Sus scrofa: one gene and its partners. The protein of the gene in region 2 interacts with the protein of the main gene of each other region in a pairwise test. Links are inferred from orthologs where the notes say so. Each region holds a gene or a part of one and is shown on either strand. Other genes may lie near its edges.

Region 1 (4,200 bases), on a different chromosome or scaffold from region 2:
AGTGCTACTGCGCCACAGAGAGGGGCAGCCCGAGGCGCTAACCCCACACCCCATCAGGGCCTCTGCTTGCTCTGCTGCTCTGAACTTTTGCTTCAGGGACAGCGAGGAGGCACCTGAGGGGCCCCCTCAGTCTCACGCTGCCTGGGTCTCCCTCCCCCAGCTGGGGGTGGGGCTAGGTTCCCAGCGTCCCCCTCCCCCTCTGGAGAGCCCCCTGAGGCACCCTTTGTTATTGCCTTCTGGGAGGTCACTGGCTGACCCTCTGCCCCCCTGGAGCCAAGGGCAGAGGGATGGGACAGAGATACCTCTGTTTTGAAAGAGGGCATAGGTCAGGGCATGGGACAGATGGGGGAGGGGGCGCAGAACCCCTGAGGGGCAGTGAAACGCCCAGCATGCCAAGGGAGGTATGCCAAGGACATGTGTCAAGGACGGGAGGAGGGGGTGCTGGGCGGAGGTGGACATGTTACTTCACTGACATCTTTTCTGTGGAGGGGTGGTTTACAGTGGCCTCCGGGGGCATATGTTCTCCTCTGTCCCCCGGCAGTGTCCCAAACCTGTGTTAGCCTCTTGACCATACGTATGTTGTGTAATCTCTCTAACCCTCGGGGTTGCCTCTCTATGAACTAGGAATAACAATAACACCTTTTTGATGGAGTTGCGAGCGTTCAATTAGATTAAGCTAATGGCACACAGAGCACAGTAAATTCTAGGTAAATTCTTGGCCGGGGGCTGCCAGGGTCTGGGTGTGCCTTAACTCCACTCCTGGCACCATCGAGACCTCCACCATGCTCTGGACCCAGGCTCTGAGCTGACCCTCAGTGTGCAGCAGCCTTGGCTGCCAGAGGACTCTGCCCTGCAGATGCAGCTTCTGTGCCCCTCAGAGGCTGGACCCGCTGCTCAGCCCTCTACTGCCCAGCCAACCCTAGACCTCCAGCAAAGCACCACGTGAGGCCCTCCCTGGTCCTCAGCACGGGGGTCAGAGGGCCAGGCAGGGCCAGCCAGTCAGGACAGGGAGTCAGCCTTTCAGCCAGTGGCTGGGCAGCACCTCCCCAGCAGGTCCCTGGACTCCCTTCATGGGTTGTTCGTAATAACAACTACTTAACAAGTGGGGCTGCAGCCAAACCAATTAGTGCCAACCCACAGGACAGCCTGGGGCAAGCAGAGTCTCCTGAAGGAGGCCTACTCCGCATTGGACCTACTCCGCATCGGACCGAGCTTCTATCCCACTGGCAGGCCTAAAAGGACCCCAGGAGGATGTCAGAGTGAGGTGCCACCTCCTGGGCACTGAGTGAGGAGCCGGGTGGTGGGAGAGGGCTTTGTAAGCCAGAGCACATCTGGGCCAGAAGGGTCCCTTTGGGGCAAGGGCACAGGGACACCAGGTTGGGCTGGGATGAGTGAGCAACAGCCAATTTTGAACACCCGTGGGGAATAGCAGTGTTGTCACTCTTCGTGTCATTAACACCGTTTATTGAGCACCTACTATTGTGGGGCCCTGTGCTAGGCACTCTCCAGACGCTATTACACCCTCCCAGGAGGTGGGCACTGTTACCCCTATTTTACAAATGAGGAAAGAGGTTCAGGGAGGTTGAGTAACTACTTCAAAAACCAAGTCTCTTTGAATCCAAAGTCCAGGCCCTGCCATAGACCCTCCACCATGACCCAGAAGCCAGCAGGGCCGGTGGTCTTAGCCACTTTACTCAGAAGAACAAACTAAGGCCCAAAGAGGAAGTGACTTGCCAGCTCTGGAGGGCCAGAAGGGACTGGAACCCAGACCTCCTGCTCCCCAGGCCCAGGATTCCCTTCACTGGGATGGAGCAAACAGCCCCTTTTACCTGACGGGTTCAAAGCAATGACTTCATGATCCAGTACCTCACAGAGGCAGACAGACAGCTGTTATTATTCCCATCTGCCAGATACATCAACTGAGGCCCAAGGAAGGGAACCTGTGTCTTGGCCTCCTGCCACTGTCAGGACCCAGGAGTCCTCTGGCTCTGAGGGGGAGAGGCCAGTGAGACCGGAAGCCACCAGGTACTGGGGCCACAAGGCACAGTCCCCTACCTCCCGGCTCTTAACACAGGCAAGAGTCACGTGGACTCTGCTACACAGGCACCAGTTGCTACCAGGAGAGGGGAACACGATGGGGATTGACGGGGTGGGGTGGGGAGGAATGAGGAGGTAAGGGGGCTGAACGAGTGGGCAGCACCTTTTTCCTCCTGGCTTAGACCACTGTCAAGTCAGGTCAGGGGCACCCTCCTCAGCCGTGTGAGTTGGTAGGTTAGCCAGGGGAGGAGGGAGAGCAGACGGTGGTGGGGACACCGGGAAGTCAGGACAAAGTTCTTTCCTGGGGCTCTGGCAGGTGCGCCATGGGATACCCACCGCCTGGAGCCAGCGAAGACAATTACCAGGAGGGCGGCGGGAAGATCGCCTGCGCAGGTCACGCCCCGACCGGCCCCCAGGGCGCCCCACCCCTTCCTTTGGAGGCTCGGCAGATAGGCGTCCCCGAGGTCCCACTAACCTCTGATGCCATGTTGGGCGGTTCCTCGTCGTCCGGGAGCCTCAGTCCTCCGGGTCTGGAAGACAGGACAGGACTGAGGACCTCCTCGGCCCCCTGGCCGGGGGTCCCTGGGGCGAGGCGGCTCCAGGTTGGGGCACGGCGCTTGGTGTAGGCGGACGTGGGCAGCCCTAGCGCGCTCGTCCGGGTCCTCTACGTCCTCCGCTCCCGCCCGCCCCGCCTGTCCAGCCGCACACTCACCACCGCCAGGCTGCGCCGTGCGTCTCTCGGAGCCACCCGGCTGGGCTTTTCTGGCCGGGAGCGTCAGCCCCTGCCTGGCTCTGCCCCCTCCTCCTGGCAGCAGCCGCACCAATCCTGGCGGCCCGGCCTGGTGGGCGTTGCCTCTTCCCTCCAATCCGGACTGTGGGCGGAGCCGCCTCCGAGCTGCTCGGGGCTGATCCACCACAGGTAGGGAACCGTGAGGGTGGTGCCTGAGCGACCGTGCTCGAGACTGCAGACTGCCGCGGGCACAGGAGGGAGACCTAGGCTAGGGATAGAGGCAAAGACACTGGGCCGGGCCTGGCGGGCTCACTAGAGGTATAAGGTGAAATGGCATGCCCAATCTTTCATTCATTCAACAAGCACGTTCCCGGCACCTCTTCTGCACTAGATACAGAGTTAGACACTGAAGAAATGATACCTGCGTCAAGAAGCTCTAACAAAGCGTGGACAAGGTGTGCAGGGAGCACAGAGGGCAGTGCAGGGCGGGGCGTTTATCTGGGGGTTCTCAGGGGTCCTTGACACGACTTCAGCACGAATGAGAGCCTGGGTTCTAGGCGCCAGGAGTACAGGCTCGAACTTCTGCCCTGGAAGTGCCACATTCTGGGGGAGATGTCCCCTGAGCTGCGTCATAGAAGATGGGTCATTTTGCTTTTAGCTCAGCGAAAAAGGATTAGAACATTCCCTGCAGGGGGAGCAGCCTGGGCAAAGTCCTCGAGGCCAGAGACCAGAAGGTGAATGGCTTGCTTGGAGAACAGGAAACCGTCAGAGAGCCTATCACACAGGGTCAGGGGCTTGAGGACAGGGGTGGGGAGGAGAGGTGGGAAGCAGGCTGGGGCAGGTCAGGGTCTTGAATGTCAAAGGAGAAGGTTTGGTCTTGGTTCCATAGGTCATAGGGAGAAAAGACTTTTTTGTTTTTTGTTTTTTTTAATAGTTAACTTTCTTTTTTTTTTCCTTTTATTTTCCCACTGTATAGCAAGGGGATCAAGTTATCCTTACATGTATACATTTGTTCCCCCACCCTTTGTTCTGTTGCAACATGAGTATCTAGACATAGTTCTCAATACTACTCAGCAGGATCTCCTTGTAAATCTATTCTAAATTGTGTCTGATAACCCCAAGCTCCTGATCCCTCCCACTCCCTCCCTCTTCCATCCGGCAGCTACAAGTCTATTTTCCAAGTCCATGATTTTCTTTTCTGAGGAGATGTTCATTTGTGCTGGATATTAGATTCCAGTTATAAGTGATATCATATGGTGTTTGTCTTTGTCTTTCTGGCTCATTTCACTCAGTATGAGAGTCTCTGGTTCCATCCATGTTGCTGTAAATGGCATTATGTCATTCTTTTTTATGGCTGAGTAGTATTCCATTGTGTATATATACCACCTCTTCCGAATCCAATCATCTGTCGATGGACATTTGGATTGTTTCCA
Region 2 (4,365 bases):
GTTTGATCCCCAGCCCAGCACAGTCGTTTAAAGAACTAAAGTATCCAGGGATGCTGCAATGTAGGTTGCAGCTGTGGCTCAGATGCAATTCCTGGTCTGGGCGCTTCCATATGCCCCAGGTGCAGCCAGACAATTGGAAAAAAAAAAGAAAGAAAGAAAAAAAAGTTCTCTTTATGGCTTGGTGGGTTAAGGACCAAACATTGTCTCTGTGAGGATGTGGGTTTGCTCCAAGCCCTCACTCAGCGGTTAAGGATGGATGGGACATTGCTGCAAGCTACAGCGTGGGTCAAACAAGTAGCTCGGATCCGGTGCTGCTGCGGCATAGGCAGCAGCTGCAGCTCGGACTCAACCCCTAGACTGGGAACTTTCATAAAGGTGCAGCTGTTTAAAAAAAAAGTACTCTGCCCCCTGTATTTGCAAATTCCGCATCCTCAATTCAACCAACCTTGACCTCCCCAACCCCCACCCCACCAATGGGGAGAATAAATAGTTGAAGATGACAAATAAAAACACCCCCTTTGGCCCCTAAGAGGTCTTGAGATCTGAGCTCAGTTCTCCAGCTGCCCGCTTTCTGGGCTCCATTCAGATCCTTCCTCTCTTAACACGACCTGTTTTCAGCTGATGAGCAGGGTTTTCTCAGACCTATTCCAGGCCTAGGGGAAACTATTTCACTACAGAACTTGGGTATTTCCAAATTTCCTCATTCGAAGGTTACTGTTGACTTATCTTGTGTGTGCTACCACTGTCTGAGGGTATCCTGACACATTCTGCAGGAACCTCCCCAAAGCGCACTTTCCAGCTTCTAGGCAGGGTATATTTTCACAGTTATGAACTTGCCTCTCACTTAGGACCTAGTCCCTCTACAAGGCCTGAGATGGCAGCAAAGGGAGCTTGCAGACTTTCAAATTCCCCTATCTAAACACACACCTGCCTGGGGGGCTGAGACTTCATCTGAGGGCAAGTCACTGCATAGGGTTTTGGGCAGGGAACGAAAGAGAGTTGCCATCAGAAAAAAAAAAAAAAAAGAAAGGCAATTAGAGGAAGGTGGGCAGACACGAAAGGCTGCTTTATCCTCTAATTTTGCCCAGAGATAACTTTGAAGTCTCTTTGGGTTTGTGCTTTTGGACTGCTACAGCCTCCAAACCGTGCAAGGCCTCGCATCATGAAAAACGAACCGGACTTCGGGAGTCTCCCCCTTCGAGCTGGCAGCGAGAGACACCCAGCACCACTCGCCTTCAGCCCCCGACGCCAGGGTCGGAGCTCCGGAGGCCGCGCCTGCCCTTCCTTTCGCCCGTCTCCAAGATGGCGACCGCTCCGCCGCCGCGGCCCCGCCCCGGGCCGGCCGGCCCCCCGCCCAGTAGGCCGGCCCCGCCTTCCCGCCCGGGGCCGCGCAGCGCGCTCCCGCCGCCCCTCCCCGCGCGAGCTCCACCCAGGTCGCAGGCAGCGCGGTCGGCGGCGCCTATTTCCCGCCATTGTGCGAAGTGGAGGCTGGGGGCTCCGCACGCGGCGCCTGCCAGTAGCCGGCAGCTCCTCGGCTGCTGCTGCCACAGCCGCTGTTCTCTGAGGCGCCGGGAGGCCGAGCGGCCGGTGCCGCGAGGCTCACCCTGCGTGGGAGGGCGCGGGCGAGGAGCGGCCGAGCCCCCGAGGAGGAGCCGCGGCGCGGGACGCCGGGCCGCGCCGGCTCCGGCCCGTCGGCGAGATGCCCTGTGGGGAGGATTGGCTCAGCCACCCGCTGGGGATCGTGCAGGGCTTCTTCGGTGAGTGGCGGCCCCGGGGGCGGGCCGGGCGGGCCGCCGAGTTGACCGAGCCCCGGGCCCGGCCCCGCTGCGCGGCCCCACGCGGGGCCACCTCGAGGGCTCGCGCGGCCGAGACGGTCAGCCGGGCCTGCGCCGGTCCGCCTTAGACACCCCGGACCGCGGGCCGCGGCTTCCCGGGCCGGGCCGCAGGTGCCTCCCACCTGCCCGATTCGCGGTTCGCGAGCGGCCAAGGTTACGCGGCGAGGAGCTGGCGGCCGGCCGTGATTGACGGCCCGGCTTCCCTTGGTGGCACTGCTGGGGCCCTAGCCCGGCGGCAAAACTCGGACGGGTCCTTGAACCTTGGGGAGGGCTCGCAGAGATGGGGTGAAGGAAAAGCACTTTGCCTATGGGAAGCCTGCGGGGTATTTCAAAACTTCCGGTGTGTCGGGGGAGTGCTCGCTCGCTCGCTCGCAGCAGAAGTTGGCTCCAACTCCTGTATTACACACATCCTCGCGTTTCGAGATAAGATTTAGTGTAATAGCTTCATTTTTCTTTTGGGATGCCTTTAAAACCGCTTGGTCTCCATCTCCTCCTTGTGCCAGAGCTAGTAAGAAATGTTGAACTCCTTAAATGCGTTCCTACATAGAAAGAGCTCAGAATGTTGCAGACAGGCTTAGTAAATTTTAGTTGGAATTATCGTCAATGCCACTCTTCTGCTAGGGTCCACTAAGGAAAATTTAGGTTTGTTTGCCGTTACCTGGGCATTTTGGCCCTACTTTCCATGTCTTTTGCACTTAGGAGGGGTGGAGGCAAACCCAGCCAGCAATCACTGTTAGATCAGAACACCTGACTTGTCAGGAGGTAACAAAGTTGTAGGTAGAGTGGCCTTCATCACTTAAGGCATCGTGGGATATTAATGAGAATGCCTATTAAGAAGCTAAATTGTTTCCAGCAGCCGAAACTGAAGGCAGAAAATGTATGTATTCCTTGTGGGAAAGACTCACTCAGCAATTCTTTATTCATTTTCCTTATAGCTTGAACTAGTATAGCTATCTGGTTTCCTAGGCAGAAGCTAGAGGCAGCAAATTAGAAGGCCTGGGTTGGCATCTGGATTGTAGCTAATGAGGAGTGACAATCTGATAAAGAAGAAATTAAATCTGTATGTAGCTTAAATTAAAAAACAACAACAGTGTATATCCATCAAGGGTGCTTTTGAGGAAGGGGCATTTATCTCTACTATATACTGGTAATTGTTGTTTATAATGAGTATGGGAACTTATCATTGATTTCCAAAATAATGGCCCAGAATGTGGAGTAAAGATTAAATTGCAGGGAGTATCCATTGTGGTGAAGTGGAAACGAATCCAACTAGTATCCATGAGGATGTGGGTTTGATCCCTGGCCTTGCTCAGTGGGTCCAGGATTCAGTGAGAGCTGTGGTATAGGTCACCGACACAGCTCAGATCTGGCATGGCTGTGATGTAGGCATGGAGCTGCAGCTCCTATTCAACCCCTAGCCTGGGAACTTCCATATGCTGCAGGTGTGGCCCTAAAAAAGCCAAAAAAAAAAAAAAAAAAAAAAAATTGCGCAATTGGCTTAAGAGGATGCAGACTCATGGGTACTTATTCGGAAATGTCTTTCAAAAGTAAGTTTTTGTGGAGTTCCCATTGTGGCTCAGCCTTAACGAACCCTACTAGTATCCATGAGGTCTCCAGTTCCATCCCTGACCCTGCTCAGTGGGTTAAGGATCCAGTGTTGCCGTGAGCTCTGGTGTAGGCTGGCAGCTGCAGTTCTCATTTGACCGCTAGCCTGGGAACTTACATATGCTGTGGGGGTGTGGCCCTAAAAAGATGGAAAAAAAAATTTGTGAGAAATACCTCTACCCTAGTCTTGCTGGATAAATTAGATTATTTTATATTTGGTATAGATTCAAATGTATTTGTGTCAGATTTTATCCCCTATGTGTGTGATCCTAAGGGGGCATGTCACATTATAGTACAAAAAGGGTGTACTTTGGATATAAAATACTGGATTTACAGCATTTGTAAAGTTGGTGGGCTATTGTGGGAACCTGCACCTTGTTTTATGTGTTTGCTCTGGAATGTCTTATTCTCATACAGATTGTGTCTTACAGAGAAGAAACTAATACTGTCTTACAGTTGGGATGTTTCTCTGGAAGCTCTTCTGGCGTGTAGTATATATTTTTGCTCTATTTTCCCTACACTGTGCATATATTGAATATCTATAATAATAACAGCATTGCAGGTATGTTTGTGTGGGAAGTTAGGTGTTAAGCTTGTGGACTCTTTGATTTAGTAGGAAGTTGTTTTAAATCCGTTTTCCCCCAGATAGAAAAGGAAAGCTCATCTGTTGTGGTTTGTGAGACCTTTTTGGCCCCCCCTGCCCAGCTCTCGGACGTCATTACTGTATCCCCCCTCATATTGAACCTTTTTTCAGTTCTTCAATTTTGATCCTTGCCTCTGCGCCTTCTGTACAGGCTGTTTCCTTTGCCTGGTCCTCCCTTCCTATCCCACTTCTACTTTCCTGGCTAAGTCTTACTCATCCTTTGGGAACCTGAGTTAGGTACCTCCTGCTCCAAGTAAAATTATAGGATCCAGTGTGGCCTGG
Region 3 (3,312 bases), on a different chromosome or scaffold from region 2:
CAGCTCTCTAAAAGAGGAGGACAGTCGTCTTTCACTGTATGTTTGCTTGTTTGTCCTGCCTCCCTGAGTAGTCACTCCAGTTCAGGTCTTATTGGGCTCATCGTATGCATTGCTGATCACTTTTTCCACTTATTTCTGCCTAACGGAAGGTCCTCACAGGTTAAATGCCAGCAATAACATATCGTAGGCTTTATACTTATTTAAATTGTGTTCCTTTTTTTTCCCTCTCTCTCCCTGCTCAGATGCTGGATTTGAGATTCCAAACTTATTTGTTGTGGGTTATGCCTTAGATTACAATGAATACTTCAGAGATCTGAATGTAAGTCTTGCATGCAAATCCCTAGCCCCCTTTTTACAAGAACTTAAGAGTGGTATCAGTTTAACACATTTTTGAAATAGTTGTAATGATGGCTGCCGTTTATGGTGTATCTTCTGTGTCAGGAACATTCTAGGCACTTGGCATTCATAATCCCAGTGAATCCCAGTGAATCCCCAAGGTAGGTGTAGCATGGTGGAAGCAGTTATGATTATCTCTCTTTTGTACTCAGGAAATAAGGACGTTTAAAGCAGAACCATAGCTTGTTAGTGACTTTTTTCTCCACAGTCATCGACTGTGTCTCCACCCCACTAGAATAATAGTTGATATTCTATAAACTACTTTGTGTCAGTGCTTGAAATTTAGAAGATATCAATTACAGCAGCATGTGGCTCATGACTATTCCCCACTTTTGGAGAAATGATTTTAAACACGTAGACGTGGGCCCCCGGGTGTGTGACCCTGGCTGCTGATGAAGGACCCAGAGGTAGACGTCTTACCCAAAGTGCATGGACCCAGCAGTCTCTCCCTCTCTCCCCTAGAAATTAGACACAAACGAAAAGCCGCAGAGACCAAGGGATTTGGGCGTTAAGCCATGGGCTGAGGTCTGGAGCGCCCCCCAACCCCGTTCCTGCTTTCCAGTTGCTTCATTACTCTGCTCTTCCTCTGCCTCTGTGAGCTCTTCCAGTCTCTTACCAACAACACCCCACTTCCTTTGCTGACAGTAACCTGACACCATTTCTGTTGCTTGCCATCAGAATATTTCTGACACGTTTCTTCCTACCCAAAAGGGCTCAGAGGAGAGTCAGCACTGTGATTACCGTGGCTGGTGGTCCACTCATTGCAGGAGTTGTAATTTCACTGGTAGGAGACGTATGTCTCCGTCACTGCTAACTGTAATCTCCCACCCTCAGCATTTCTGGTTGTTACAGACCTACAGAGTCAGATTCAGAAAAGAGCTCAAAACCAAAACAGAGAGGAAATCTTTGCCAAGCATTTTAACGGGTCTCTTGAGATTTTACATATATGTGCATGTATACCTATATTGCATGTGTATGTATATGCATATACATATAGGTATGTATACACACATATAGATACGTATGTATTTAAATGAACAATAGTCAAGTACAAGATAACATTCTGTTCTCTTACTGCATCCCATTTTCTGCACCTCATATTGTGTTAAGAAATTGATGCATTTAAATCCTTTATTGTTTCAGCACATATGTGTGATCAATGAACACGGCAAAGAAAAGTATCGAGTCTAAAGAAGTAAATTTTCGCCATCGAATCGGCAGATAACATTCCTACTTAACGACTACACTCAGGAAGCCAGCATGTAAAGTTTGTCTCCCAGGCATCTTCACTCAGCAGGATTTAAAAGAACAAAAAAATTTAATGAGCAGGCTTTATTTTCTGAGATTATAACTATAACGTAAAGAGTCCCAAAGGTTCTTCAGGAAAAGAAAGCAATGCTTTTATTTGCCTTGTTTCAAATTAAACACTCCACCTTGTGACTCATAAGTTCCATCTACCTTCACACCCCTGAGATATACTTTCTTTTGTTTTGATAAAGTCATTATGGGTGATTACTATACCCCCACCTACTAACTCAAATAGTTTTCACTTAACTATTTTTTTTAAATACTCTACTTTACAATCTTAAAACCTAGAAGCCTTTTATGTGAACCTCTGAGCCCATACGCTAGAAATGCAACTAGATTCCCACACTAGTAAAGGAGGGAAAGGACAATTTAATATAAATTTCTGTTTGCGCACTTCTGACAGGCCGTTATTATCTGCTTTGACAAAGCCTCTCTGAACAGCCGCATACAGTGAATCTTAATGATGTTATGAAATAGGCCTTTGCCAGTGCTCTTGATCGGAGCTTCCGGTACGTGATAAGGGTATGTCATGTATGCATGGATGTGTTTAATACTCTGAATTTTAATTAGAAAAAATACAATGGCAGAAAGCTCTGGTTTCTAAGGGGCATCCTTTAACTCATGTGGGACATGAGCAGAATTGTGGGGCGGGGAGAAGTGTTTTCAATGCTCAAAACTAAGCACGTATAAATTTTTCCTGTGTTTCCATCAGAGGGCAGGACATTTTTCTGTATTATCCTAAACATGAGCACAGAGGTTGAATCATTTCTTTAAAGTGGCCTTGTAAGACTTGATCCCACAATCCAAGGCACCGTAGAAGACTTGGATACTTAAAGTTTTTTCTGAGTAACATTTTTTTCTCCATTTCCACTGTTTCATGAGATGTTTTCTAATTTATGGGGATTTTAATTGAAAATAAACTTGAGTGCCAATGGAGCCGGGTTTTTTTTCTCACTTCCTAAAAGGAGCAAATGCAAAGTAAATAACTAAGCAGACTTTGTTTGGTTCTGAACCGTATGTGGTATATTGTTATCAAGTTCCAGCTTCCTTTAAACTAATAAAGAATAAGAACACTTGTTACGTTTCATAACTGCTTACTGTTTTTCTTCCGCCGTCATATTTTTTATATACTTTCCGCCATTAAAATGTGTGTGAGCCAGTAGCTTAAATATACTGCTGCATACATCTTCCCTGTGGCTTTATTTTTGTTAACCTGGAAAATATCCAGTATATGCACCAGTATAAGCAAACGATTAAGCCAGGCTTGATATGCTGCTTGCTGCTTTTTTTTTTTTTTTTCCCTTCTTAAGCTTATTTGTAAGAACAAGGAATTTTATTTGTAAAGGAAGATTTTCCTGCATATCTTTATTCTAGTCAAAGAAGAAAATAAACCACACCCAGATATCCCAAGGGGCAAAGCAGCAAAGGGAATTTCTTCTAGCTTCGTTCCGCAGAAACATTGTTATCCAAGTTATAGGTTGATAATTCCAACTGGCCAGTTTCTTGAACTATCAAAATTAATGTTCTAAATATAATTTTTCACCCTGCCACATTTATAGCAGAGGACCTAGAAAAATCCAAACACATTTGATTTTAAATATAAACTTA

The links.
Region 1: the proteins of MCMBP (region 2) and ASL interact in binary tests that used the Homo sapiens proteins (3 or more experiments, as listed by UniProt). The two-hybrid records come from large-scale screens. The link is inferred for Sus scrofa from reciprocal best matches to the Homo sapiens genes MCMBP and ASL.
Region 3: the proteins of MCMBP (region 2) and PRTFDC1 interact in binary tests that used the Homo sapiens proteins (3 or more experiments, as listed by UniProt). The two-hybrid records come from large-scale screens. The link is inferred for Sus scrofa from reciprocal best matches to the Homo sapiens genes MCMBP and PRTFDC1.

What each region holds. Positions count from the first base shown.
Region 1 is NC_010445.4:16,636,146-16,640,345, reverse strand, and holds the start of ASL (argininosuccinate lyase), read right to left. Parts: upstream 2,866-4,200; 5' UTR 2,750-2,865; intron 2,568-2,749; 5' UTR 2,525-2,567; coding exon 2,513-2,524; intron 652-2,512; exon of another isoform or gene 1-651.
Region 2 is NC_010456.5:129,739,329-129,743,693, reverse strand, and holds the start of MCMBP (mini-chromosome maintenance complex-binding protein), read left to right. Parts: upstream 1-1,488; 5' UTR 1,489-1,699; coding exon 1,700-1,757; intron 1,758-4,365. UniProt on the Homo sapiens protein: Associated component of the MCM complex that acts as a regulator of DNA replication.
Region 3 is NC_010452.4:50,455,697-50,459,008, forward strand, and holds the end of PRTFDC1 (phosphoribosyltransferase domain-containing protein 1), read left to right. Parts: intron 1-242; coding exon 243-319; intron 320-1,539; coding exon 1,540-1,587; 3' UTR 1,588-2,791; downstream 2,792-3,312. UniProt on the Homo sapiens protein: Has low, barely detectable phosphoribosyltransferase activity (in vitro). Binds GMP, IMP and alpha-D-5-phosphoribosyl 1-pyrophosphate (PRPP). Is not expected to contribute to purine metabolism or GMP salvage.